4 linked regions of the Diceros bicornis minor genome follow. Each later gene encodes a partner of the first gene's protein in a complex. Links are inferred from orthologs where the notes say so. Each region holds a gene or a part of one and is shown in the gene's direction. Other genes may lie near its edges. The genes, in order: NUP214, CETN2, NUP98 and CETN3.

Region 1 (7,376 bases):
GCCTATAAGTCAATGATCTGGAGTCCCCTCCTGCCTTGGACTGCCTGTGTGGCTCTGAGGAGTCACATTGCCACTCTGCGTCTCAGTTTTCTCCTCTGTAAAGTGGGACTAGCAGCCCCTTCCACATTGCTGCCTTCATGGGCTTCCGAGAAGATTCCACTTAAGGATGGATGCAAGGGCATTCTGTTGAGAACCCTGCTGATGTGAGGGCTGGGATGATCTTTTCTTGGATGAGGGAAGGGGTCTTAATCCTGTTTTGTTTTGTTTTTTCTCCATCTCCAAACCAGAGTCATGATGTTTGAAGGGAAAGCCAATGAGAGCAGCCCCAAGCCAGTCGGCCCCCCTCCAGAGAGAGACATTGCCAGCCTGCCCTGAGGACCCCTGCCTGGACCTGCCCCGCCCTCCCTGCCCCTGTTCCTCCTCCTGATCTCGCTGCCCTCTCGACTCATTGTGATTTGTCTTATTTGTTTTGTTTGGTCCTTGTGCGTTTGTTTGTTTGTTTCATTGGCAGAATCAGTGATCTTTTTGTAAAGCACAAATTATCTGCCTTAAGGGGGCTCTGGGTGGGGAATCCTGAGTCTTGGGTCCCCTCCCTCTCTTCTCCCATCCGTCCCTTCTCCCTGTGCAGAAGGGCTTGACATCAAACCAAAAACCGGAGGGGCAGGGCTAGGACAGGGAGACTGGAAGCCTGTGATCCCCACGCTTGAAGCTGGCACCGTCCATCCTTCCAGGACGTCTCTGAGCTAAGTCCAGGCTAGCTGCCCTGGCCTGGGTGAGGACCTCAGCCCACTTATAGGAGACCCTGGGGTAGCCTCCTTAGGGTTTCCTTGGACAGCTTTGTTGTTCCAGTGCTCTTGTGTTGTCCAGGACGTGGCCACTCAGTGTCCCACTGCCCCACCTGATCCCCCCTCAGTCCACACTTCTTCTCATCCTCAGTGAGGTGACATAAGGAGACAAAGAGAGGGGCTTGGCAACTTGAGTCCTTCAAGAAGGTTCAGGAAGGAATCCTCTGGCTTGCCCCCTGGCCACACCTTTACAGGCAGCTCAGAGGGAGGGTGCAGCCTGCCGTCCCTTGCTGGGGCAGCAAAGGGCTTTGGAGGTAGAGGGGAGGCCAGGGGCCTTGAGGGGGTCAGCTCATCTAGTCCTACCTTTTATAGTCCTACCTTTTAGGGAGGATGCTGAGGGCATCCTCAGCATAGGAGATAGGGAGATAGGAGATATCAGCATAGGAGAATGAGGATTAAAATGCTCATGGCAAAAAGAGTCAACCCCACTGTTAAGCCAAGAGCTGAGAAATAGGAGGTTGCCTTTCTCATTCAAATCTGCTTGAAACCTGACTGCACTTCCCCCATTTGCCTTTCCACCTTACTCACACCATTCATTCATTCATTCATTCACTCAGTCATTCAACAGATATTTATTGACAACCTATTATAAGCTTTAAGTCCCCCTACTTTGTCCTGCCATGTGCTGTGTCCACTGTCTCGCTTACTCATCTCTCCGTTTCCAAATTGCCTAAAACCTTGAGCTTGGGGATTGGATTGGGGTCACCTGTGTCCTTTATTATGGACTCACAGGGTTTCAGAGCCCGGATCCACCCTGTAAGTTATCTGAGCCAGTCCTCTCATTTCACAGGCGAGAAAACTGTCGTGGTCCACAGGGATTAAGTGCCTTGCGCAAGGTCAGGGGTTAATCTGGAGCTGGAAGAGTCTGGACTGAAGCCCACGTGTGCAGATGCCCTGCCCATGCTTCATCTCTGCCCTGGGCTGTCTCAGTCAGGGATGAAAACAAGGGAAGGGGCAGGGAGGGGCATGCTCCTAGGTCAACACTTGAGGAAGGCCCAGGCCAGGACTCCCCCTTCCCGGTGCCCCCGAGTCAGCATCAGGGTTTGGGTAAGGACCAGGCCTGCCTTTGCAGTCCTGCCTTCCCTAGAGCTTCTCGGCCAAGCTGCTTCTCAGAACTCATGCAGGAAGGTGTCACTCTCGGCCCCATCTTGGCTGAGCAGGAACCCCAGCCTTGACCCCACCTGTGTTCTGGAGCCCCTTACCCTACTGGCTCAGAGATGCACTCATCCATTGAACATATTTATTAAGCACCTGCTATGGGTCAAGAGCTAAGAACCCAGTAGGGAAATAGACTCCTGGAATTTAGAGTCTTGTGGGGAAGTCACACCCAGACGATAATGAGTGAGATGAAGGTTAGGAAAGAGGGGGATATGAGGTGACTGCACTGCAATCCTGGGGGTACCTAGCTAGGCCCCAGACTGGGCAAGAGTCTTGGAGAAGCCTTCGCAAAACCTTAAGTGGAAAGGTCTGGGGACTGTTGGAGGTTGGAGCTAGTGTGGGCTCCCTGCAGCTCCTTAGTGACCCATAATCAAGGGCCCAAGGAGCGGCCCTTACAGCAGCTTGAGGGTATGGAGCCGGTAGGGGATGGGGAAATGGCCAGGTTGGGTTAATCTGCTGGTCTAAACCAGTTCAGGAGCAAGATTATTTGGCCATGACTGGCTGATCTTCAGCCTAAGGAGCTGCTTCAAATGCACAGGCCCAGCTGAAGTTTAAACCCCAGCAAAACATTCCTTCCTCTAAATGTAAAATTTCACCCCACCTCCTGCCCTCCCTTGGTGGTTTTTGTTTTTTCGCCTGAGATCCTTACATGAGCAACTGCCTGTCCCCACCCCTTCCCACTGCCTCTCCTCTCAGAGACCTTTGAGCAAGGTAAAGCCTTCCTTGACTACCCATCATAGTCTAGGACTGTTCCTCACTCAGAGAGGAGGGCAGAACCAACCAGGCTTATTTCAGCAGGTTCCACACTTTACAAGACTGCAGGAAGCCTCCTTAAGGGAGGAGAGCAAGTGAGTGTGTCCCCAGCTTCTGGAAAGGGCAGGAAAGAGAGTTCTCTCATTGGATGGGGGGTGTCCTGGGAAACCTTATCAGTTCCCTTCACCATTTCTCGGAACTCAACCCCTGGAGGGAGTGAATCTCAAGAGCGGTCCCTGGAAAGGGGGTCTGCATGTATTTCAGGTTGTGGCTATTGGCTCTAGGACTGTTCTCTGGCTAAGGGCTCAGCTTCTTAGAACTTCAGCTGTCTTCTTTCTGAAAGACCAAATCTAACTAATGTAACCAGCAACTTGGGGGCTGCCAAGTATGGCTTTGTCCCTGCAACTCAAAAGGAAGGAGTGTGTCGGGCAAGTTCAGGTGGATGCGGTATGTGTGTGTGTGTGAGTGTGTATGGTGCCGGATATCGTGTCTACAGACTGGAAATAAAACAGACAAACTTATCAATGTCTTCATTGGTGTATTTTGGGGATGGTTTGGGGCTCAGCAAATTCAGAAAAGCTATGTAATATAGTAACAGACCGAATGAATGTGTCCTGTGTGCTAGGCTCTCTTAAATGCTGAGCTTCATTTACTCCTCACAACAACCCCATGAGCCAGGTTCTACTATGTCATCCTTGTTTTATAAATGAGAAGCAGGCTTGGAGCAGATGAGCAGTTTGCTGACAACCAAACAGTAAGTGGCAGAGCATGGAGCTGACTCACCGGCTCCAAGTTAAGAATCTTTGTCCTAGAGCATTTATAATATAATTCCACTACAAAAACCTCTACGTAGGACTGTCTAATAGTCATCAACCAGCAGATCCAGAGAAGCTGAATTCTCAGGCTGCCTCTGCTACTTTCTGACTAAGGGGCACTGGGGAATTTTCTTAACTTCTCTGGGCTTCCAGTTACTTCATCAATTAAACGGCAATGATGCCCCTAGGTGACTAGGATGTCTTGAAGATTACATAACACATCTGAAGTGTTCTGCGGTTTCCAGGGTCTTGCCCTGTAAATGATAACCTTGAAAGGAGTAAACAAGGCTGACCTTTGGTGCCTTTTAACCTCCCCTTTCAGCCTTCGTGCTTAGACACGTGGAGAGGTCCCACCCCGCCACCTTTCTGAACCTCTTTTCCTCCACACCCCCCTCCAAACCTCTCTCAAGAGCCGCCCCTGGAAATATCTGTGAAGTAGCGGGAACTATTAACCACCTACACCCCGGGGTTACTGTGAAGTCTCCAGCGAACAAACGGAGCGCTCGCGCGGGCGCCCGCTGCCCAATGAATGAAACCAACTCGAGGCGAGCCCGCGCTGAGCGCGAACGCGGGGGCGGCACGTGGACTCTCCCGGGCGCGAGCATGGGCCCTGGGGCCACGGGCCCTACTCGGCCGAGCCGGCCAATGGGAGGCGGCGGCCAGGATTGCGCGCGACTTCAGACGGGCCCCCAGCCTCCCTCCACCACGCGGCGGACGGAAGCGCGTGACGTCAGCACAGCGCGCCGGAAATGTGGCGTTCGCTGCGCGCCGCTAACGCCGAGGAAAGGAAGTTGGCCTCGGGGCGGTCTGGGCTGTGTGGGCAAGGCCGCGGGCGGCAGCGGCGGCTGCTTCGACCAGCTGAGGGCGGCACGATGGGAGACGAGATGGATGCCATGATCCCCGAGCGGGAGATGAAGGTCAGAGACTGGCCGGGGCCTCCCTCCCTTGCTTAGTCGCGGCGTTGCCTTGGAGCCGCGCTGAACGGCGAAGCGCGGGTTCTGCCCCGCCTCCGGCTTGAACAGTTGCCGCGTTCCGAGTTGTCACCGGCGCGCCCCGGAGCACTCTGCCCCGCCGCCGGCGTGGAAGCCCCCCCGAACGCAGTTTCCCCGCCCCTTGCTGCTCTTGTGCGCGCCACTCGAGTTACCCTGGCTCCTGTCACGTGGTGGTCGGAGGCGTGGCGATAACTACCGTGTGTTGAGCGATTACTGTGTGCCAGGCACTGTGATTACCGTGTGGTGATCATCACAGCAACGCCGCGAAGTAGTCGTTAATGTAGAGGAGCAAATGGGGCTCGGAAAGCAGCTTACTCAAAGTCACATTTGACAAGGCGGCTGAAATCCAGGGATGTCTTGTTTAAGAGCCTCTCTTCTTCACTCGCACGGTACCACCTCTGTAAGGTGGGCCAGGCTTGCCTAACACAGAGCTGGGGTTCGTCACCTGTCCTACAAAACCTTTGGTTAAGTGGAATAGGAGGACTGTTCTGGTGCTGGGAATCAGCCAAAAAAGAGGGTCAGGTGATCCAAATGATGGTTATAAACACCTGAAAGGGAGTGAATTGCAGGAAGATTTTAGGCGTTTGAACAAGAAATCACTGAAATGTGTTTTGGGTGGTAATCCATACCGTATTTAGAGTAGTGCTTCTCTCTTCGTTCTTGAGAATCACTGTGGGTGAGCCACCCAGTGAGAGTGTGGCGTTTTCCTCAGAGATGCCGAGGTGGAAGGAAAAAAAGGTTTTAAAACCACAGCCTTTGAGGATGATAGTCTGCCTTTGAGTTACTGATTATAACAGAAAGGAGAGCTCTGCTGTACCTCTTCGTCCCACTGGCTCCCTATGCCCGTGTGACTATGACCCAAATAGGAAATTTGGGATGATCAGGATGAGAATGACAAAGACTGAAAATTTTATTCTACTGTATGAAACCACAGTATGGTCTCACCTGGAAAGTGGTGTGAATTTCTGATCACCGTACTCAGGTGGAGTTAAGAAGGGTATTTCCTTTAATCTTTTAGCAAATATGTATTCAACATCGAATCCAAGGAAATTAGTATGTGGGGTATGTTAGGGGTCCTGTATGAAGCGCCATAAGTACAAAAATGGAGGCTGAGAAAAACTCTCTTTGGCTTTTACAGTTTTGGAATGTAAGCAAAAGGGGATTCACATTTTTTTCACCAAAACTTTGACTTGAAGATAGGTTTGGAATTGAAGGAAAAAAACTGTATATAGTACAACTTAACATAGTGATTGGTAAACCTAGGGAACTCTGTTACCGGGAGGTGGTACACACTGAAAATTGTCTTTGAAAGCATATAGGTAAGTTCATGGAAGACTAGGTGAGTCAGGCATTGACAGATCGGGGAAGGCTCCCAGGCCCTGAGGCCCTTGAAAATGGAAGGAAATGAAAACTGATAGTGGGTGGGGGTTGGAGGTGTGACAGTGGGTGTGGCAGAGGTGATGGCACACTTGTGGGAGGGAAGCGGTGTTGTGAGGTGAGGCTCTGTAGGTGGATGGGTCAGCCCCTTCCTGGCCTTATAGCCTGCCTGAAGGGTCTTGGACTTGTGTTTAGATGTCTTTTAGCATCTAGGTATGTTTATAGGACTTGAACACCAAGACATTGACCATACATATCCTTTTCTGTGATGGATTTTTTTATCATTTGGTGCAGGTAAGCCCATTCTTGGGATCTGGTTCTTTCTGTGGTCATTATTTCCATATATATATTTATTGAGGGCTGCACTGGAAGTTCCAGCTTACAGCAGAGTTGGAGAATGCTTTCAGTATTTAACAACAGTTTGTTAAGCATTACTCTGGGTCCTGAGCAATGCATACCATGAAATAGGACAAGATTATAAATAATAAAGTGCAGCTTGTGTGGTGGTTTAGGACAATAAGTTAACTAGGAATTCAGAAAAGATCAGTGTGAGCTGGATTAGTCAAGGAAGGCTTCATGAAAGAATTTTGAAAGTTTTATTTCATTCAATAAATACTAACAAGCAGTGTGCCAGGCACCACACTATGCATAGGAAACTTAAAAATGATTGAGCCACACAGTCTTTGGCCTCAGGGTAGTATATCTTTTTGTTGTACTGGAATTGGGTCTACTGGAATATAATGACAGACATTTAATTTCCTGTTTTCCCTAAATTGGTCTTGTTTTGATCTCTCACAACAGGATTTTCAGTTTAGAGCACTGAAGAAGGTGAGAATCTTTGATTCCCCTGAGGAGTTGCCCAAAGAACGCTCAAGTCTGCTTGCTGTGTCCAACAAATACGGTCTGGTCTTTGCTGGTGGAGCCAGTGGGTTGCAGATTTTTCCTACTAAAAATCTCCTTATTCAAAATAAACCTGGAGACGATCCCAATAAGATAGGTAAGTTACTTGCTTTGTGTCGGTAGTAGAGAGAGGAGTGTGGTGAAGTGTGAATGTAGTTTCCTTCCCAAGAAAATCATTCCAGTATTAAAATTAAAACTGCTGTTAGTCCTAAGGTTGACCCCCAAGGAGAATAAGTTCCAGGTAGGATGCTGGAAGCCTTTCAGGGTGTTCTCTTTGGTCCTTTGTATTTCTCTTTCAATGAGTTGTTCCTCTGAGCTCAGGGGGAAGAAGAATTTACCATTCTGCCATGCTTTTGTTTTCGCTCAGTTGAAGTTGGGTTCTGGCTCTCTAGGAGAAGGATTTTGTTGCATGGCTTTTTAATTAACACAACAGTCCCATCCAAACAAATGGGAATGTGTACTCTTTAGACCATTGTTGCAAAAATATGGGTACAGGACACTGTTTTCAACAAGGGCAGCAGCCACAGTTAGTTTCC
Region 2 (7,331 bases), on another chromosome or scaffold:
CAGAATGCATATAATGAATAAGCAAAGTTGACCTGGAGTTCTATGCCTATCCCCTCCCTCTCTCTATCCCATAATCCTCCTTGTGTTGACAGGGGGCCCTGTCATCTGTTCACCCTAAACAGATGTGACTGGTGAGCTCTGACTCACTGGGCTCAGTGTGTACCAGCTGGGGAACAAGAATTTCGGCACTTGCACCGAGGTCCAGCAAACAGAGTGCGCTAGCAGTTCTGTCTGCCTTGTTCACCACTGTATCTCATCATGAACACAGTGCCTGGCACAAACTGAGCACCCACATCTCCACTGGCCCCATGAGTACATGGCGTGTGCACATGCCAGGCAGACTCCCTTCTGCTCTCCACCACATACACACAGACGCCTGCCTAAGATGCTACATTCATGAATACCCACTGCCGGCTTCTCACTCAATTTCTCCAGATACTCAGGGAAGCATGATGAAATGAGAGGGCAGACAGCATTTGGAGTGATGCAGTCACAAGCCAAGGACACCCTGACTTCAGACTTCTGGTCTCCAGAACTGTAAGAGGATAAGTTTCTGTTGTTTTTAGCTACCAAGTTTGTGGTCATTTGTTACAGCAGTCACATGAAATCAACACAAGTTTTCTTTGCAGTCCTGAACTCCAAATAGCACAGCTGCCACTTCCATAGCCCCCCTGTACTAGTAGAAAAGCAAGAAGCCTTAAAGCCTGCTCTCCGCAGTCTCTCGGGGATGATCCGGGAGGTGAAAGAAGAACCCATCCTGCCCCTGTGGATCCATACTGTTCAAACAATGCTCACGCGATCCTCAGCAAAGCAGCCTCTTGTAAGAACAAAATCAAATCTGCTTTATCTCGAGTTATACACACATTGTAGTAAAGTTTGTAAATACTATAAGCCAGATAAGAATTTTGGTGATACTTAGCCATCTCTAAGGAATAAGGCAGATCCCACTGGCACCCCTCAACCTAAATCCCCCATGTGCTACACGGTAGGGATAAAATGCACATCAAGAAGAGCTCTGATTGAATAGACATTTCTCCAAAAAATATATACTTTACACATGGCCAACGAGCACATGAAAAGATGCTTAACATCACTAATCATTAGGGAAATGTAAATCAAAACCACAATGAGATATCACTTCATACCCATTAGGATGGCTATTATCAAAAAAACCCAGAAAATAGAAAATAACAAGTGTTGACAAGGATATAGAGAAACTGGAACCCTTGTTCACTGCTGGTGGGAATGTAGAATGGTGCAGCTGCTGTGGGAAACAGTACGGTGGTCCCTCAAAAAATTAAATATAGAATAATCATAGGATCAAACAATCCACCAAACAATATCCCCCAAAATTGAAAGCAAGGATTTGAACAGATATTTTTACACCCATGTTCACGGCAGCACTATTCACAGAAGCCAAAAGGTGGAAGCAACCCAAGTGTCCATCGACGGATGAATGGATAAGATGTGGTATACACACACACACACACACACACACACACACACACACACAATGGAATACTACTTAGCCATAAAAAAGATGAAATCATACCATTTGTGACAACATAGATAGACCTTGAGGATATTATGCTAAGCAAAATAAGTCAGATGGAGAAGGTCAAACACTGTATGATTTCATTCATACATGGAAGATAAACAAACACATAGATAAGGAGAATAGATTGGTGGTTACCAGAGGGTAAGGTGGTGGGGGGAGGGTGAAAAGGGTAAAGGGACATAAATGTATGGGTGACAGATGGAGATCAGACTTGGTGGTGAACACGATGCAATCTATACAGAAGCTGAAATATAATGATGTACACAATGTTATAAACCAATGTGACCTCAATAAAATAATAAAAAGTAAAAAAAAAGCAAATGTGGTATATACATATAATAGAATACTATTCAGCCTCAAAAAAGAAGGGAATTCTGCAATATGCAACAGCATGGATGAACCTCAAGGACATTATGTTTAGTGAAATAAGAACCTTGGGGACATTATGCTAAGTGGAAGAAGCCAGTCATGAAAGGACAGATACTGTATGATTTCACTTGTATGAGGTCCCTAGAGTAGTCAACTGAGAGACAGAATGTAGGATGGTGGGTCCCAGGGGCTGGGGGAGAGGGAGGAGGAGTTAGTGTTTAGCAGGTATAGAGTTTCAGTTCTACAAGATGAAAGAGTTTTGGGGATGGATGCACAGCAATGTAATTGTACTTGACGCCCCTGAACTGTATACCTACAAATGGTTCAGATGGTCAATTTTCAGTTCTGTCTATTTTACCACACATACACACATAGCTCTGAATGGGAAAATAAGACCTCAAAGAGCATGTTCTAGGGGCTGGGATCGTTAAGGTTCACACATCGGAAGCCTCAAGTCTTTTTCCTTTAAAACAGTAGGTCTTTGAATCCATTAGAAACCAGTATGTACGCCCTCTATACACACTGGGACAAAGTCTTAGGCTAAAAATGACCTAGGAAAAGAGACCCACATTCTAATGGTGAAATCCAAGTGCCTCGCTCAACTTCTGGGCAAGGGGAAGAGGGCTGCTGATAGGATTCGATGAATAGAGAAGTGAGTGAGCCCAACTCCTCCTTCCTGCTGGGGAAAGTTCCCTGCCACTGAGTCCTGGAGACAAAAGGAAGGGATAGTCTGTCCATTTCAAACCAGATATATATAGAGAGAGACACTCAAGTGTTCTCTTCTTCAAAAACATGGGAGATCAGCCTCTTTGTAAATGGAAATGCAGAGCAATTCAGAGGGGTGTGTTGGGGTAGCTGGGGCCCTGCCTGCTGCCTTCCATGGAGTCAGTGCGGGAAGCTAAAATGTGGCTACTGCAAGCTCATCACTTTAGTCCATGGACAGACAACATCTGCCTGTGCAAGAAAAATGCAAAGAGGACTTAAGACAAAACGCACTTCCCCCAGGACTCAATCAGCTCAACCTTGTCTTTTCATGGACCTGTGGGCCTCTCTGCTTGTCTGTTTACTTTTAGGACACAGAAAGGCCCTGGCTTTGAATTTGTGCTGGCCACTGAGAAACTCATCAGCATCCTGCGAGCTTTAGCTAATGCTGTTCCCTCTGCCTGGAATATCTTCCCCTCCTCTCCATGGTGAGTTTCTCCTCATCCTTCAAGGCCTAGCTCAACTGTCACCTCTGTGAGACCTCGTCCCCCTCCCCAGGCAAGGTTAGCTGCCTCCTTAGCACTCATTTCTGCTCCCATTCTGACACTTAGCACGCTGGTTTATACTTTTTTTCCACGTCTGTCTTGGCTCACTAGGCTGTGAGGGCCAGCAAAGAGCCTGGAACGGAGTACAGGTTGAATTGTGCTGCTGCAGCTGGCCTAAGAGGCCTCATCTGTAGAGCAGCAATCCTTCCTGCTGACCTCACAGCCGCTGTAGGGCTCAAACAAGAGACGTCCAGTGACTTTCCCAAAGTCACACAGCTGGTACACGGTCAAGGCAGAATTTGTGGTTGTTCCTTCTACTCTGGCAGGATGCCACCCCGCAGACTGACTGGGAAGTAGGGTGTGAAGGGACATGATGTTAGAAGGACTAGGAGGGGCAAAACTGGGTAGAAGGCTCAGATGCCAGGCTGAGTGTGGACTTTATTCTGCAGTCACGGGAAGCCTCTGAAGGTTTCAGAGCATGGGGGTGACCTCAGCAGAGCTGTGAGAAGCAGGAAACAGGGGGCCTACTTGCCAGTTGCTCAGCAGAGATTTACCAAGCACCCACCATGTGCCCCTCCCTACTCCAGGTACTGGAGGGCCAGCCATGAACAAAACAGAGCTGCCTGCTCTCCTGGAGCTCACCTCCTAGTGGATGGGTAATAAAGAACAAAATAAAGAAGTAAAATACACAGTAGGTTAGAAGGTGATACATACTATGGGAAAAGAGTAGAGCAAGGTGCAGGGCTTGGGGGTACTGGGGGCTGCAGTGCTAAATAGGGTGCTTAGGGTGGCTCACTGAGAAGGTGACAGTTGAGCAAAGACCTGGGGGAGGGAAAGAAGTGAACCAGTAGGCAGAAGGAACAGTAAGAGCAAAAGTTCTAAGGTAGGAAGGAGCCTGTGCATTTGAGGCCAGCAAGGAAGTGTCCCGGGGCCATAGCGAGCCAGAGGAGGAGTGGGGGTGGAGGGAGTCATGCCAAACCTTGCAGACCATGGTGAGAACTCTGGCTTCTGCTAGGTGGGAGGCTGCTGCTGAAGGCCTGAATTGGAAGAGGAGCCACAGAGGTGGAAAAGAGAAAAGAAATGGCATTCGAGGGGGAGAACTGATAGAACTTGGAGGCTGGTTAATGGGGACGGGACAGGAAAAGAAAGAGTCAAATATGACCAAAAGGTTTTCGACCTGGTTCATGCTCAAAGGGGAAGAGGGCAAAGGGCAGAAGGTCAGTGAACACTTTAATTTAACGGACACTAATAAATCTCAGGCTTTTCTCAGCCTGAGAAACTTATGCTCTGTCCCCTGCCTCCCTAAATGCTGCCCCAATGCCCAGAGGAGATGCAGGTAAGGGCTGAGAGCCACGGAGCGCTCCTACACTGCGCTGGCTGAGGAGGGCAACCCTGGACCTCCAGCTCCACTGCTGCAGCTCCATTTCAGCCACACCCTTGCACATGCCCCCTTGTAGTTCTCCAAGCACGCCTCACACTTCCAAAACTCCTCAGGGTGTCTCGACCTGGAATGCTCCTCCCTATCCGCCTTGAGTGTTTGGGTGTCAAAAAGAGTATATCTTGATGACTTCTCCCCCTCATGCTCGCTCATATTTCCTTCACTCTCTTCAAAGTCCGTTCCCCGCTCCCAGCTCACCTGCCTGGGCTGCTTTTAGCCAGGTGAGAACTAAAGTGATCCTCTCTTGGAATCTGGTCTGGGGGACAGGGCTGCTTTCGAAGAGACACCCTCAAAGATCCTCTGCTGGATTCAGCTTCTAAGTCCCAGCCGTCTGAACCTCTGCGACAATGCTCGGCCTGCCCCTTTCCTTCTCTGGATCTCAGTTGCTCCGTCAGTACAGTTTCCACTCCAACACCCAAGGTCAGGGTCTTCTCTGGCCCCTCTGACCCTAATTCTTAGGCCGGACCAGAAAGCACCCGACCCGGATCGTCCACCCAGCCCCTGGCCCTCCCGCCCTGTCGCCGACTCAAGGCAGCCTCCAAGAGCGAGGTGGCAACCCTTACTTGTCCGAAGGCGCCCTCCTGGCCGGCCTCAGACAGCACGCCCGCAGACAGCACCCACACACCTCCAGCCGCCGGCGACCACCCTTTTCGCTCTGCCGCATGAGCTGAGGATCAGCCGAGCCTCCTCCACTAAGGGGATTGGCTCGGCTTGGAGCAGGCTCAGCCAATCGGCGCTCGCGGCATGATCCTGCCCAATGAGGCCAGGTCTTGGCCGCGAGCGCACCGCCCCCCGCCCCGGCCCTGGCCTTTGTCGGGTTAGCCCCACCCACTCCAGCCCTGCGCCAATGGGGAGCGGGGGCCGCGCGCGCGGGACAGTGGGATCGGCGCCGAGTCAGTGTGTACGTCGGTTGCCGTAACAACAGGCAGCGGAGTCGGTCGGAGATGGTGAGTGCCGGCAGCCCTGTCGCGCCTGGCGGGCAGAGGCTGAGCCCTTCCTAGGCCTCGGCCTGGCCCCGCTGCCTTTGCTGCGCCGTTCTTGGCTTTGGCGCGGCCCTCCTTCCTCTGAACTCTTTCCCGGAAGAGTAGGGTAGAGACGCCCGGCGCCCTGCTGGGCCTGTGATTCGCCGCTGCCTCCCCTTCACCCACAGCCGGCCTCAACCCGCCTCTTGGGCTCCCCTGGCCTTCCCCGGCCCCCTCGGTGACCGTCAGTGGGCAAAGAAGACTCGGATTCCCCGCAGGTCTCAACGCTTCTCAGACGCTGGCCTCCTGGCCGCCTCGCTCTACCAAAGTTTCCGCACAGAGCTGGGGGGAGGTTTATTATGTTTGATTGTTAACGTGCATTTTACAATGTAAATATAGGGACATTTGCGAGACGCTTTGAGCTTCTTGGAGAAGGCACAAATGTACCGAGTGGATTGAGTTTTATTATTCGATATTGACAGGCTATACATCTTAACTTAGTAATATTTGGCCAAATCTGGAAGTAATCAGAAAGTACTTAGAGGGAACTGGAGTACCGCAAGTGGGTGTTGTAAGGACGTTTCTATAATTAGGATCCCCCAATTCAAGGAGAGCTGATCATCTGTACAGTTATCCACAGTCAGCTCCTTGGCTAGCTCTCTTTGGGGGTGATTTTCAACAAGAGATATCCAAAAGAACAATTCTTGGAAACCATAGTAAAGAAGAGAGAGGGATAGAGGTGCATGGAAAGACTCATTATTCTTTCCAGTAAACTCTATTATCTCTTCTGCTAAGCAAAGCTTTGGAATTGGTTGGTATAAACTATTTTTAAAATAGATATGGTTGTCTGTAACTTTTATGTAAAGTATGGACTAAATTGCATAATATTGTGCTTATGTGTTTGTAAAATGTCTGAAGGCCTCCAGCTTTAAGAAGGCAAACATGGCATCAACTGCCCAGCGAAAAAGGATGAGTCCTAAGCCAGAGCTTACTGAAGAGCAGAAACAGGAAATCCGAGAAGCTTTTGATCTCTTCGATGCTGATGGAACTGGGACTATAGATGTTAAGGAACTTAAGGCAAGCCCTGTGCATTCCTGCTCTGCTGCCTTGCCTTTCCTCTGCCTCTTTATCTTCTTTCCGCTCTACCCCTTTTGCCCTCTTCTCCCTCCAAAAAATAACAGGGGAGGATGCACTGTGCTCTGTTTTCCTGTTTTTACTTACTTCAAGTATTATTAAATAAAATTGAGCACAAATATCGATTTGCTTAATGTTATAGTGTTTCCTAATCATTTTAACATGATTGTGTCTGATGCTGGCTCAATAGTCTCAATGCTGTCATTTTTTGTCCCTCTAGGTTTAGATGTGCTTATTGAGATGATCCTGTTTTCGTTGTAGGTGGCAATGAGGGCACTGGGATTTGAACCCAAGAAAGAGGAGATCAAGAAAATGATCAGCGAAATTGATAAGGAAGGGACAGGAAAAATGAACTTTAGTGACTTTTTGACTGTGATGACTCAGAAAATGGTAAGTTAGCTAAAATAATCAGCATATTTTCCACCCATAATGCTGCATACATTTGAATCATGTAAGTGTCTTCACTGAAGAAAAGTTAATACAAACTGGAGAGTTCAGCTGATAAAGGATAGTATTTGTAACTGAAAATTAGGATGCTTCGGTTCTACTTAGCTTTCTTCAAGGCCACAAAGTCACAAGAAAAGTCATTTTACCCTTTGTAAAGTAGTAAAAGTACTACTGCT
Region 3 (7,588 bases), on another chromosome or scaffold:
AGAAAAAGGAATGAAGTACTGATGCATGCTGCAACATGGATGAACCTTGAAAACATTATGCTGGGCCAGTCCCGTGGCTTAGCGGTTAAATGTGCGCGCTCTGCTGCTGGCGGCCCGGGTTTGGATCCCGGGCACGCACCGATGCACCACTTCTCCGGCCATGCTGAGGCCGCGCCCCACATACAGCAACTAGAAGGATGTGCAGCTATGATATACAACTATCTACTGGGGCTTTGGGGGAAAATAAATAAATAAATAAAATCTTAAAAAAAAAAAAGAAAACATTATGCTAAGTGAAAGAAGTCAGACACAAAGGTCACATATTATATGATTCCATTTATATGAAATATATGAAATGTCCAGAATAAGCAAATCCATTGAGAGAGAAAGTAGATTAGTAATTGCCAGGGGCTGGGGAAAGGGGGAGATGGAGAATGACTGCTAATGGGTCTTGGGTTATGAAAATGTTCTGGAATTAGACAGTGGTGATGGTTGCACAACATTGTGATTATACTAAAAACCTCCGAATTGTATATTTTCTTTTCTTTCTTTCTTTTTTTTTTGCTGAGGAAGATTCGCCCTGAGCTAACATCTGTTACCAATCTTCCTCTTTTTGTATGTGAGCCGCTGCCATGGCATGGTCACTGACAAGTGGTGTAGGTCCACGCGCGGGAACCGAACCCAGGCTGCCGAAGCAGAGCACACTGAACTTAAGTTCGAACTTAAGGGCCACCACGGCTGGCCCTGAATTGTATATTTTAAATAGGTCAATGTTATATTATGTGAATTATATCTCAATTTTAAAAAAATCTGGCAAAGAGCTGGGCCTCAATAAATGGCAGTTATTATTACAAAAAAGATGATAAAGGAGAGAAATAGAAACTGAACAAATAGGACACATAGAAAGTATAAAATGTTAGATAAAATCCTGAATATATCAGTAAATTCATTAAATGCAATGGACTAAATGCTCTAATAAAAAGTCAAAGGTATTCACACAAGATTTACAAAAATCTAATTGTATGCTATTTATAAACATCACCTTCCCTTATCAAGTTATACAAAAAGAGGAAGGAAATCAATATTTACTGAGTGCTTACCATGTGCCAAACATGTGCCCAGTCCTTTGCAAATTCCATTATCTTCTTTGACCTTCACAACTACTTTACAAAATAGGAATTATTATTTTGTGTGTGTGTGTGAGGAAGATCAGCCCTGAGCTAACATCTGATGCCAATCCTCCTCTTTTTTTTTTGCTGAGGAAGATTGGCTTTGGGCTAACATCTGTGCCCATCTTCCTCTGGGATGCCGCCACAGCATGGCTTAACAAGCGGCACATCAGTGCACACCCGGGATCCGAACCTGCGAACCCTGGGCCACCAAAGCAGAGCGTGTACACCTAACTGCTGTGCCACCGGGCCAGCCCCCAAAATAGGAATTATTGTGCCCATTTTATAGACAAGGAAACTGGGGCACAGAACAACTAAATATAATTTGTGCAAGGTCTAAAAGGTAAGCAGAATGAGGACTTGAACTCAGCTCTCTTTGACTCCAACTCTGCTGCTCTTTCCAATGCACCATATAAGAAATCTAGCACCATCAATCTGGAAGGAAGTCTCTTGACCTTCTATGATTCTGCAGTCCTTACAGGTCTCTCTCCTCCCTGAGCACTAATCCTTCATAACTGCATAGAGTGAGTTCTCAGGGCATATGGTGAGAGACTGAGGGCTCCCAGGACAGAGATGGACTTTACTTAGCTCTGTCTCTCTTGGCCAGGGCAGAGCACTGAGCTGTGGACATCTCTGGGCTCCTGATGCCCAGGACAGAGTTTGGCTCAGCAAGTGTTTGTGAACACGCACCAAACTCCTTGTCTTTAGAGGGGAAGAAGGAAGATGATGATAACCAAAAGGAGTATTATGAGAATCAGGCAGATTAAGAGTATGTGGGCCCAGGAAGCCCTGGCCCGCACAGAAGTCCTTCCTGGGGCAGAAGTCCCTGGGAATGATGAGCTTGTGGGCCACATGCTTACCAGAGTACCTAACAAGAGGTCCTTCTACTTAGAAATCACCATGGTCACAGGAAATTCCTCGCTGGAGCACTCCTTGTCTAATGTCTCCCCCTCCAGTCTTCTAACAAGTATGCACTATTTAAGCATCCCAGCTCCTGCACACCCACTAGTACTTTGGACTGAATGTACTCACTTCCTCACTCAAGACATGTTTCTGAGCCCCTTTTCTGTGTCAGAATCCATGTCTCACAATATTTAGCAAGGGAATTCCTTGACATTTTTAAAGAATACAAATCATATCTATTATTTATTGAGGGCTTACTGGGTACCACGTACCATGCTAAGTGCTTGATCTCATTTAAGTCTCACAACAACTCTGTGATGCAAGTATAGTTGTTATCCCCATTTTACAGACAAGGAAACTAAGGTTCCGAAGTAGTAAGCAATTTTCCCAAGTTCATACAGCTAATACATGTTTGGGCTCAGATTTAAACCCAAGGTTCTCTGACTCAAAAGTCCCACACATCTATTATTATTCTACTTAAGAAATTAATTCACTCATTCATGTGTCAAACATTTAACGTGCACCTATACTGTGTGCCTGGCCTTAGAAGCACCAGAATAAATAGACGAGAGGTTTAAACATAATTGGGTTTGAGGATTGGAAGGTGAGAAATCAAAAGTTCAGGAGGGCAGTGAGGAAGCTACTGTAACTCTCCAGAGAGACTAATGACTTTCTGATGCAGAGCACAAACAAAGGAGGGTGGAGGGAAAAGAGAGATGTTTAGTTGGAGGAGTTGGGGGAAGGTGTCTGGAGTCATATATTTAAACTAGCTTTACTACTTGACTATTCATGTATTTATTTCTTTCTTCCTTCAAGCATCTACTGAGCATCTACAATGTACCAGGTTTCTCCTATCCATTATCTTATTTATTTATTTATTTTTTGTGAGGAAGATCAGCCCTGAGCTAACATCCATGCTAATCCTCTTTTTTGCTGAGGAAGACCGGCTCTGAGCTAACATCTATTGCCAATCTTTCTCCTTTTCTCCCCCCTAAAGCCCCAGTAGATAGTTGTATGTCATAGTTGCACATCCTTCTAGTTGCTGTATGTGGGACACGGCCTCAGCATGGCGGGAGAAGCGGTGCGTTGGTGCGCCCCCGGGATCCCAACCCGGGCCGCCAGTAGCGGAGCGCCTGCACTTAACTGCTAAGCCACAGCCCGGCCCCATTATCTTATTTTATCTTTAAGACCATTCCACTTTTTGACAAACTATCTCTAATCCATTGCCACCCCGGAAAACTTGGAAGGATTTAAGTTCACCTACGTTTTGGGCAGAGCCCATTTCAATTTTGTATTGATGTCCCAGGAGGAGGTGGTAGCGGTGGAGCGGTAATCCGAATAGGCTTTGCTTTCTGAGCACACTCCCTGCTATTCTGTGTGGGACCCTCAGTCACTAGGTCTAGTTTCCAGAACACGCTCGACCTTCTCCCCTTGTAATATTCCGCTTCTGCTCTGAGCTAGGCCCCAGAGGAAAGGAACACCAAGATGTAGAAAATGCAGCTCTGACCTTCAAGATCCCGGGCACAGAAGACAGGAAAGTAAATAATAGGATACAAAGTAACAAGGCTGTAACAGAGGCCTGCCCAAGCATTAGCCCAACAAGCTGGGAGAGATCGGCAAATGCATCCCAGCCAGGAAGGGAACATTTGAACCAGGCCTTTAAGAATAAGCAGGAGTTCCTAAAGTGCAGGTAGGAAAGAAAATCCAAGAATCCTCATTTGTACCAAGCCCTATGCTGAGCCATTCCCTAGGGCATCGCTAAGGCTCTTAACGTCTATTCCAGGCATTCAGAGAGGGAAAGGTTGTGCTGGGGCTGCTATGGGTCAGGAGACAAGGAGGCCAGGGGTTAAAGCCTCGGAGCAGCTGCAGACAAACTACTCGGACAGACGGACCTCCCAGGAGGGCCCTCCAGCTTCGCAGGCGGTGTGGCCAGGAAGTGCTGGCGGGAGGATGGGGAAGCCTTCCCATCACCGCCTGCGGACTGGGGCCAGGAAAGAGTAGAATAGTTACCAGGCCATCCTGGAGCCTTTCCTCTGATTGGCCCCAGCTTCAGCAGCCCGTGTCTCTCAGGTCCAGGGAAGGGGGCGGAGCCTCGGCATAGCGTCACCATTCTTCTCCCACACCCAGGCCGGTGCACCCCAACGTAGCCACTCACTAACCCACTTCGAAGGGCCCTGTGTGACGCCACGACTCCCTCCCAGCCAACCGCGGCGGCGAGGGGCGGGACTCCATGCCTCCCACCGCCCCTCCCCTTTCCTCCCCTAACTCCTGGGGTCCCTCCTCTTCCTCCTCTCCCCTTCTCCCGAAGACCGGCCCCACGTTCGCTTTCAAAAGACTCGTTGCCCAATGAGTGACAGGGCGGGCCTAGAGTGGCGGCGGCGTCTGCCAATGCGCAGACAGCGGGGGCGGAGCGCCCGGAGCGAGCCTCTGACGGCGGGCGGCGTGTGACGCAGTCGGGCCCTCTGCGCGCTGCGCCCGAAGCGGCGGTCGCTGTCGGTGGCGGCGGAGGCGGCGACTGCGACGGTTTCGTGGCGGCCGCGCGCTGCTGTCTGAGCGGCGGGTGGCGGACGGGCCTAGGCCCTCACTCCTGAGCTTCCCATCCCGCGCCGCACCGCGGTAAGTCGGGAGCCCGGGCGGTGGCGGCCGGGGACCGGCAGGCTCCTCCTCCCCTCAGGGCGGGCGGGTGCGCGGGGCGTCCCAGGCCCTCTCCGCGCGGAAGTCTCGCGCCCGGCGCGCACCTTCTGCCCTGAGGGAGGGGGCGGGCCCTGCGACTCGGCGGCCCCGAGGCCCGGCTCTTCGGTCGCTGGGAGGGAATGGGTTATCTGTGGGGTCTGGGCCCGGGAGTCTCCTGGTGCAGCCTGCGCTGAGGGAGCGTCCCTCTCTGTGGTTGTACTCATTCATTTGTCCGGCAGTGATTAGGTGGGCCGGCCCTGTGAGGGGCAGCGCCTGACGACCCTGAATACGGGCCCCCCGGCACTTCTTGACGGTCGTGCGGGATGGCCTTTATTGGCGTTGGTCTCTCCACAGGGGAAATTTGCAGCCCGAGGGTTAGGGTAAGTGGGCCGGGAGTTTGTTAGCTTTTTAAAACAGTATCTGAGAATTAAGGTCGGTTTAGTGGAGTAAAAGGTTATCTGCTGTTCTGCCACGTGTTCCATGTAAAGCTAGATGGGGTTTCTGGATTACTATAGCCATGAGGACTTTAGGAGTGAAGCCGATCCGCCTACCCTACATCACGTGCAAGTTTTATAGATGGAGAAACCGAGGCCTAGAGAAGGGACAAGATTAGCCAATGCCAGATCTGACTCAGTCTAGACGGTTTTCTACTACACCACTCTCCCTAAGTGTTCCAGCCTTCCCTTACTGAGGATTCCCTTTGGGGAGTTGGGTGGGGCAGCGGGGGCATTTGGTAGTTAGAAGCAGACGTAGCTTCTTCAGTAGCGTTTGAGATTTAGTTGCTACCAGCTCTATTCATGGTAAGACGGAAGCTTCATTAGTGGTACTCTAACCTAGAGCATGAGGTTAGGTTTAGGTACTTTTAGGTTTAATGTTGGTTAAAGAATTATCGGTGATGTTATATATTAGAAACGAGTCGATAAGACTACATGTCATGGGCTAGTTTGCTGTTCCAAATCTGAAATTTTTATTTGTGTCAGCTGCTGGGGACTCAGAAGAGACAGTCCAGTTCCTGACGCACAACAGTACTGAAGTAGAAAGCGGGAAGTATAGACAAGACACATAAAGGTAGGCAGCAGTTTTGTAGTTATTGTACCTTGGAACTCATGGCTCCTCTCTGGTACAGAATTCTAAGTATTGTAGTAGAATAAGGTGAGAAAATTAAACTCCATTTTGGAAGAAGAAACTAACTGGAAGAAAGAAAGAGCAGTGATCATTCCCTGTGACAGTTACATAAATTCAGAGAGAAACTTTTGTTAGCTGAGTAACAGAGGGTATGTTTACTTAGTGGCAGAAGTTAGGATATTTAAAAAATAAAACTGGAATTTGGACAGGATGGAGGTACTGGGGAATACTTTGATAGAATTATTTTTTGACTCTTCATTAAGGTTTGGTGAAATTGAATTAGTTGCCACTTTGGTGCGTTCACATCAGTCAGATCGTTGCTTTGGTCTGTTTAGATGAAAAGCAAAAACTGAAAAACAGTAGTGTATAAGAACAGAAGAGAACTGGAGTCTAAATACTAAGAGGTGAACAGGGTATATTTACTGTGACATTTTCTCAGTTCAAGCATCACCCTCTTCTGGGAAGCCTTTCCTGGCATTCTCTCCCCTGCAAGCTTCCATAACACTTATTTGATACATCTATTTATAGTACAAATCATTTTGTATTTTAGCTGTTTGTCTTTTTATTAGACTGTGGTAAAATATTTTTGTCTTATCTTTGTATTCAGGTTACTTGGCACATGGTAGGCTCTCAGTAAGTGTGTTTGCGTGAACGAATAAACAAATATGGAGAAGTTAAACCTAAAAATAGTCAATAAAGAATCTGGGTATTTGTGTGCTCTTGAATATGGGGCCCAGATAGAGGACCCATACCGTTTGTATATTATGTGGTACTTTGGTACATGACTTTTTTCAAGCTGTGAATTTGGTTTCCTAAAAGTTCTGCTTGCTCTTAGATATCTAGATGCTAGTGGACATGAATAAAGTCAGTTATGTTATTTTATTGTGATATTACTTTTATGCTGGCAATAAACGTAGGAAGTAAGGAGTAGTAGTTCTGATATTTAATTTCCAATAAAGAGCACATTCGTAATTATGCAATTTGTTGGGCCGGCCCTGTGGCTTCGCAGTTAAGTGCACGTGCTCCACTACTGGCGGCCGGGGTTTGGATCCTGGGCGCACACCGACGCACCGCTTCTCCGGCCATGCTGAGGCCGCGTCCCACATACAGCAACTAGAAGGATGTGCAACTATGACGTACAACTATCTACTGGGGCTTTGGGGAAAAAAAAAAGGAGGAGGATTGGCAATAGATGTTAGCTCAGAGCCGGTCTTCCTCAGCAAAAAGAGGAGGATTGGCTTGGATGTTAGCTCAGGGCTGATCTTCCTCACAAAAAATAAATAAATAAATAAATTATGCAATTTGTTGAAAGGTTAGAGGACTAAGAAATTTAGAGATTTAACAGTAGGTATTAGAGGCAAGGTGTATAAACAGTGTTTCTTGAGAATTTGGTGTATTCTTTGCGTTTGGAATTGAACCTGAGTATTTGGTACAGTATGTCTCTAGAGTAGGGTCTCTCAGCCTCAGCACTAGTGACATTTTGGGCCAGATAATTCTTTATTGTAGGGGAGTTGTCTTCTGTATTGTAGGATGTATAGCAGTATTCCTGGCCTCTCCCTGGATTTAGATACCGTAGCCACCCCTCCGCCCCCCAAGTTGTAACAATCAAGAATGTCTCCAGACATTATCAGATGTCCCCTGGGAGGCAAAATTCCCCGTGATTGAGACCACTGCTGTAGAGGAAACACTCCCACTATTTCAGTGAAATCATACCTTTA
Region 4 (6,866 bases), on another chromosome or scaffold:
CAGAGTCTTCCTAGATAGTTGTTTTCCTTTGTTTTATTTTTCATTCTGTTGATTTTCTTCATATCTCTAATGGTTTTTGATTCTTCATTCATTTTTAAGAGTGGGGTTCAAGATAAACATGGAGAGAGAGAATACTGGTGAGGGGAATCTGGAAGAATTGAAGTGCAGTGGTCTCCCAAAGAGTTTTTTTTTTTTTTTTTTTTTTTTTTTGCTGAGGAAGATTTGCCCTGAGCTAACATCCATTGCCAATCTTCCTCTTTTTTGCTTGAGGAAGATTAGCCCTGAGCTAACATCTGTGCCAATCTTCCTCTATTTTGTAGATGGATCACTGCCAAAGCATGGCTTGACAAGTGGTGTAGGTCCGTGCCCCAGCGCCCAGGATCCAAACCTGCGAACCTGGCTGCCAAAGAGGAGCACATGGAACTTTAACCACTCAGCCACAGGGCCGGCCCCTCCTAAAGAGCTTTTGAATTGACATTTTGTATTTAGCCCTCTTCTCACTTCCATCCTCGACTGTACCACACAACTCTACACCTAGAGTCTCTCTTGGGACTCTGAGAGGTAGATCAACTCTTTCTGAAGCTTTAGTCACCCCCTACAAATCCTGAGATGCCATTTTGATGATCTCATTTGTCAACAAGCTCTTTTGATCAAAAAATATGTCAATATATCTCTTTTGGTCTTTCAGATATTTTTTGAAATACTTTGTCTGCTGGTGGTACCTCTCTAGGTCACTTCAGTATTAGAAACTAATTTCTCAACTATTGTTTTATTAAGGTTTCAGGAGGAAGACTAAACAATTACTAATGCTACTACCTTCTTAAACCAGAAGTTTTAACTACTTTTGGCTTTGGCTCTGGACTTACTATTCTGATTACCATAGTAACAAATACATTTTGATATCCTGTAGAGCAATTTTTGTATTATTATTCTTTTTCACAATTTTTAAGTTATTTTTATGCAATTATTCTTAAGACAATCTTTAGAATAATTTTGTTAAATTCGAGAAAAAAATGTGAGCATTTTTATTTTGATTATACTAAATTTACAGATTAATCTAGGACATAATTAACATTTTTACAGTACTGAATCTTCCCATCTAGAAGTAGAGCTTCTTTTTCAATTTATTCAAATTTCATGTCCTTTAGTAAAATTTTGTGATTTTCTACCTACAGGTTTCCCGTTAAATTTATTTGAAGGAATTTCGTATTGTTATTATTCTTTTATTTTGCAAATGCTTATTGATTTTGCAAATTTCTCTGATCATCAGCTACTTTACTGAATTCTTTTATCAATTCCAATACTGTGATACTCTTGGATTTTTCCAGGTAATCATTTCATCCACACATGATGTTAATTTTATATATCACTTTCTTTTCCTGTTTTATTACAGCATTGATTAGAGTTTCAAAGATAGTGTTGATAACTGCTTTAAAGGTGTCTGTAGCAGAGCTGCTAATCCCATCTTATCTTTAGTAATAGACGATCTGACCCCAAGTTTTAGCAGGGCACACAGTTTTCCAGTTAGAGATTTCTTTTCCCAGCCTCCCTGGTGGAAAGGAGTGGACATGTCACTAATTCTCACTAATAAAATACGAGCAGAAGTGATGCATGTGACTTCCCTGTCATTCCTACAACAGGATATCCTGTTGAAAACATTTTAATTTAACATTTAAAAATCTATCTTCCCAAATTATTTGCCCACAAATATTTGCCCACCCATTCTTCATGAAATTACCACAAACAAAGCACAAAATTCTAGTGTTTCAGGGACTAGGTTTGAGAAACACTAGCATTTTAAGTCTGTTGCTCAAGTTAAAAAAAAGTACCTTTTATATCTAGTTTATTAATATATATTTTATTAGGAATGGGTGTTGAATATTTTCAGTGCCTTTTTGGACATTGAGATGATCTCTTTAACCTAGAATTATAATTAATTAATACAGATTTATATTGTGAACTATCTTTGCATTTTTAAAATAAATTCTATTTGGTTATAGTGAAATGTTCCTTGAAGATAATACCAAATTGATTTTGCCAACGTCCACGATTTTTGCACATATGTTCACTAATGAACATAAAACACGAGGGAGGCACATACAATGGTGAGCGATAGGCACACAGTCTCATCATGGAGCATACATTCAGCGACTTGAAATGCTGTTTAGGATGATAAGGGTTGTGCTAGTTTCAAACATTAAGCTAAGAAGCTCTCCCCATCATGCTTTGAGTTTAAAGCATAAGAATTAGCTCTTCAAGAATTTTTAAAACTCACCCATAAATCTGAGTGGGCTGGATGCCTTTTTATCTCTTGGTACAGAACTTGGGCATCATTTTTCCAGTCCTATCTACAGTTATTGACATAATTCAGTTTTCTGTCTTTTTTGAGTCCTTATCTGTTTTCCTTGAAGTGACTATGTCATTTTGATATTAATATTTATTGGCAGCATGAAGTCAGATAAAGTATTTTAATAATTTTTAAACCTCTCTTTTAAATTACCAACCTTATTAGTGGCAATATTCCCTTTGTTACACTTCCATACATCTGTCAGTTTTATTGGTATTGTCAGGAACCAGCTTATTTTTAGATTACGAGACTACCCTTTCTACTCTTGTTTTTTTTTGGGGGGCGGCGGCTATGCTGTAACTATTAATTTTTAGCTTTAGTCCATCATACTACCATTACTAGTCCAAATTTAGCTTATCCTTTAGGTCTAACATATACACCGTCTCCTTCAGGAAGCCTTTCTTCTGCCCTGCTGTGTTCTCTTTTCTCTAAACCTGTATACATATCTCTCTATAGATATATCAGTGTTTATATATCTTCCCCCTTCCTCTGCTCGACTCCCACCTTCAGGCTATTTTATTCCTTTATGAGATTTGCAGCTCAGGTCAGTACTTTCTGAGTTTTCACAGCAACATTCCATTCAATGCAACAAATATTTACTGAGCATCTATGCATCAGACATTGTATTAGGCACTAGGAATAACGTTAAACGCATGACGGAGTCCTGGCCTTGAAGAAATTCAGTCTAGTACAAGACATGAACAAGTAAACACATTCAATGCTCAAGGGAGCTTCAAGAGACTTGGTTTGGCAGTGTTATATTCGTGCAATTTACAGCACTGGAAAATAAGGGACATAAGCGAACAAATCCGTTAAAAGGAGGAAGAGCAGAGCCAAGGGCGGTGTAGGTACAGCTTCACCGTAAATAGCCTAATAATCCAACTCAGTTATTATCCAAAAATAATCCACAGCACCGGCCTCAGAATCACTCGACAGGTTGTAAGGAAAAAAGATGCAGATTCACACGTACTAGAATCAGATTGGGGGAAAGGGACATTTAAATCTGCGTTTTAAACAAACTCTCTGTGTCCTTAGGCCATCGGCCGTCCAGGTTTTAGAACACTGGAGCCAATTTCGCAGACCTCGAAGTTTGCTACTCCCTCCTACTAGCGGGAGGATGGCCTCCGGCGTGTTTCTTCTCTTCCCTCCCTCTCCTTCCCTCGGAGCCGTCCGTCGTGTCTCCGGAACGTCGCCCACAGGCCGCAACCCTCCTGGGGTGAGGCGAGGTGCAGCCACCCGCCACCCGAACCGCAACGCTGGGACTCAGACACTCAGATCTCGGCTCCGCAAAGGATTCGGGGAAAACTCAACAGGCCAATCCAGGAGGCGGGAGGAGCAGCGGGAGAGGCCGGCAGAGAGGTTTCGTTGATTGACGCGGAAGACGCCCAATGAGAGCAGAGGCCTAGTGCCGCCTCCGCCTTAATGGGCAGGACATTAGCAATTTCAACCAATCCAGCTCAGAAGTGACTAGCTCGTGGGAGGTCCTTGAGGCCGCCGAGGTCGTTGGTGTCTGTTGAACGGGTTGTGGAAGTCGTGCTGCCTTGGGTAGGGGTTTAAAGTCGTTCTTGAGAGAAACGTCTCTGTCCGAAGAGAAAATGAGTTTAACTCTGAGGTCGGTAATGAGGAGGCGGCAATGCTCTCCCCACCCCGCAGCGGGCCCCAGGGCGGGTGTGTGTAGAAGGGAGGCAGTTTGGAGCCGAGGCGAGAGGAAGGGGGATGCAGTTTGGGATGAGGGAAAGGAGCCTCGGCCAACCTTCCCGGGCCCGGACTCCCCACCCTGGAGCCCCTGGTGTCCCGCAGGTGATGAGCCCCGTGCATAGTCATGTCTGGCAGCACTGTGCTTTGGACCGCCAAAAGGACGAGTGGTTTTAGTAGCAAGGAGGAAGTGAAATATCGCGAGGTTTCATCTCGCGGTGTTTCTGCGAGAAATCAGGCCATGGAGCATCCATTCGTTCAGTTCCTCGCTCCTGGTCTGCAGCCTTAACCTCAGCTGCAGTACTGCTCACATACATACCTTTAAGTTTTGGAAGTAAGATAAAAGGCCTCCTTGCTCTTCTCTCGGGGCTCTGCTTTACGGTATAACCGGAGACCCATTTTAGTGACTTTAATTGGTAATGTCGTAGAGTTCCTTATTTCCTGAGTTTCTTTACCTTTCATTCTGTTCCAGCCTCTCACCCTCTCTTGCCCCTTCCCCAGCCCCATCTAGACATTTTACCTTAAAAATATCTATGTAGTTAACGCCACTCTAAAACGGTGCCGTGTTCTGCCAAGGGATAATCGTTGTCCTCTTGGATGGGGTCACTTGTGGGTCTGTTGTGGACTTGGCCTTCCGGAATCCTGGGAAGAGAATGACCCCGGGAATGTCCAAGCTTGTGTGAAGAAAGATCTTCCTCAGCTTTGTCATGCTCCTGGTCCAGTTCTAGCCATCTCTTGCCTGTGTTTTTTTGTAGATTTCGGAGAACAAAACAACTTCAAATGCAAATAGAGAAGGTGTTCTAATAAAAGTAACTGGGTTTTACGTTTTATCGTTTTACAGAATTCTTCTGTTTCAAAATTTGTTCTCAATTACAAGTGTTGCAGCCCCATTTGAAAATTTGGAACACTTAGATCGGCATCTCTTAAGGAAGACATTTCTGGCTTTTAAAATAAATTTCCTTTTCAAGTTTTTCCAGAGTTCGTGAGAAATTAAGTTTACATGTTAAGAGAGATTTAAAAAGACCATTGATTCTTCACGTAATTATATGGAATTAGCCCAAATAGTATTACTTTTTTTGGTGTTTAATCGTGATATTTTTAGACTCAGTATTTTGGCTGATTCGTTAATATCAACGGAAGAAATTATAAAATGCCAAACTATTAGAAACATGTAATAGAAAAACATTTTTAACTTACAGTGCCAAAACACTTTGTAAGTTAGTTGGTAAATTATATGTTTTTGTGTAGCAGTTTTGATAACTTAATGATAAACTATCAAAAGTAAACCAAATATATAGTGATGGTCAATTAGGAATTTTACTTTCTTTTTTTTAACACTTTATATCGTAGAATGATGTGACTAATAAGTGTGGGTGCTTTGTTTTTTGTTGGGGTTTCTGACATAAAAGTAATGTTTCTTATTCACAGTTTTTGTTTGTTCCACCGTGGGAATAAACACAAAGCTAGGAGGAAGGATTTGGTCCTCATTTCTTTTAATAACCTGTAACACTTTTCAGTTTTGGGAAGTGCCGATTTATAATAGCTTAGACTATGGAATGAGCAGGGCTTTGACTCATGTAAGGGAAATTTATCTTTCTTCAAAATACCTTCTTTTTAGAAATTTAGAAAATTATTCGTTGGCTAATTTTTGTGTTCCATTTTTGGAATCTTATTTTAATCATTTAGAGGCATAGGAGAATAGGATTAAAGTGAACTAAAACTTTTTGTTTCATTTCATAGAAGTGAGCTTGTAGTAGACAAAACAAAGAGGAAAAAAAGAAGAGAACTCTCTGAGGAGCAGAAACAAGAAATTAAAGATGCTTTTGAACTATTTGACACAGACAAAGATGAAGCAATAGATTATCATGAATTAAAGGTAATAGTATACTTAAAAATTTTTTTTTCTGTTGAAATGATTTGCATTTTTGACTTGGTTAAAAATACATTTCTAAATAAGTATTTTAGCAACTAAACTTTTTGGAAATATGAAACCATTTTAAACATTCACAGTTAAGTGCTATAATAAAATTGAATAGTACTCCTAACATTTTTTTAGAAACTCCTTTTCACATGGTAAAGTGAGTAGTATTTTAAATGTAAAAATACATTCCTATGGAGGGACTTATTTTTCATTCACGTAATTAAAAGATTTCAAAACTGTAGGATTTAATCAGTTCTTATTATATTCTTCCCACTGGGTTTTTTTTTTTTGGTGACTCATTCTTTTCTCAGATTGGAGGAGTGTTGTCTTTTAATTTGAACATGTTAGTAACACAGTCTCAACCTACTTTCTCTGGTGCAAACAACATAAGTGATGTTTGATGTTGACACAATGCTAATGGGGAAAAATGTCAACTTTAAGGGCTAGAATTATTTATAAAGATACAAGGGGAAATTGGTGTTTGGAGTAGTATGGATCTCACACTCAGCATAATGAGAAAGGTAGCATTTTAGTAGCGTTTTAACTCTCTTTTTCCACTATTTTTTTTTTAGTTACCCAGCTTTGCTCAATTCTACCTTTATGCCTCATCCATTTGTTGCCATTGTTACTATCTTGGTTTGGGATCTTAATTCATACCTGGAGCTTCCTAAATGGTTTCTCCATTTCTAGTTCACCCTGTACACTTCCATTAGATTGATTATTCTAAAATTCTTTTAATAGATTGTTCATTGCTGATAAACCATTAGTGGCTCCTCATTGTACACTGCATGAAGTTCAGATTCCTTTGATTTTTATTGAATGCTCTCCACACTTTTACTACCACCTACTTTTCTCATTTGCTAACTGCTTGCTTCCAGCTGAGCTCTTCCCATTCAGGTAAGG

What was found.
Region 2: NUP214 (region 1) and CETN2 share a complex: the UniProt entries of both Homo sapiens proteins name them as parts of the nuclear pore complex. The link is inferred for Diceros bicornis minor from reciprocal best matches to the Homo sapiens genes NUP214 and CETN2.
Region 3: NUP214 (region 1) and NUP98 share a complex: the UniProt entries of both Homo sapiens proteins name them as parts of the nuclear pore complex. The link is inferred for Diceros bicornis minor from reciprocal best matches to the Homo sapiens genes NUP214 and NUP98.
Region 4: NUP214 (region 1) and CETN3 share a complex: the UniProt entries of both Homo sapiens proteins name them as parts of the nuclear pore complex. The link is inferred for Diceros bicornis minor from reciprocal best matches to the Homo sapiens genes NUP214 and CETN3.

The regions. Positions count from the first base shown.
Region 1 is NC_080767.1:38,433,092-38,440,467, forward strand, and holds the start of NUP214 (nuclear pore complex protein Nup214), read left to right. Parts: upstream 1-4,364; 5' UTR 4,365-4,443; coding exon 4,444-4,488; intron 4,489-6,741; coding exon 6,742-6,937; intron 6,938-7,376. Other genes in the region: AIF1L (allograft inflammatory factor 1-like), read left to right, coding at 288-375. UniProt on the Homo sapiens protein: Part of the nuclear pore complex. Has a critical role in nucleocytoplasmic transport.
Region 2 is NC_080781.1:136,968,450-136,975,780, reverse strand, and holds the start of CETN2 (centrin-2), read left to right. Parts: upstream 1-4,331; coding exon 4,332-4,391; intron 4,392-4,810; exon of another isoform or gene 4,811-5,076; intron 5,077-5,175; exon of another isoform or gene 5,176-5,271; intron 5,272-5,379; coding exon 5,380-5,559; intron 5,560-6,492; coding exon 6,493-6,651; intron 6,652-6,969; coding exon 6,970-7,098; intron 7,099-7,331. UniProt on the Homo sapiens protein: Plays a fundamental role in microtubule organizing center structure and function. Required for centriole duplication and correct spindle formation. Has a role in regulating cytokinesis and genome stability via cooperation with CALM1 and CCP110.
Region 3 is NC_080746.1:58,890,360-58,897,947, reverse strand, and holds the start of NUP98 (nuclear pore complex protein Nup98-Nup96), read left to right. Parts: upstream 1-4,566; 5' UTR 4,567-4,688; intron 4,689-4,879; exon of another isoform or gene 4,880-5,125; intron 5,126-5,725; exon of another isoform or gene 5,726-5,813; intron 5,814-7,588. UniProt on the Homo sapiens protein: Plays a role in the nuclear pore complex (NPC) assembly and/or maintenance. NUP98 and NUP96 are involved in the bidirectional transport across the NPC. May anchor NUP153 and TPR to the NPC.
Region 4 is NC_080740.1:16,898,047-16,904,912, reverse strand, and holds the start of CETN3 (centrin-3), read left to right. Parts: upstream 1-3,851; 5' UTR 3,852-3,942; coding exon 3,943-3,959; intron 3,960-5,782; coding exon 5,783-5,918; intron 5,919-6,866. UniProt on the Homo sapiens protein: Plays a fundamental role in microtubule-organizing center structure and function. As a component of the TREX-2 complex, involved in the export of mRNAs to the cytoplasm through the nuclear pores.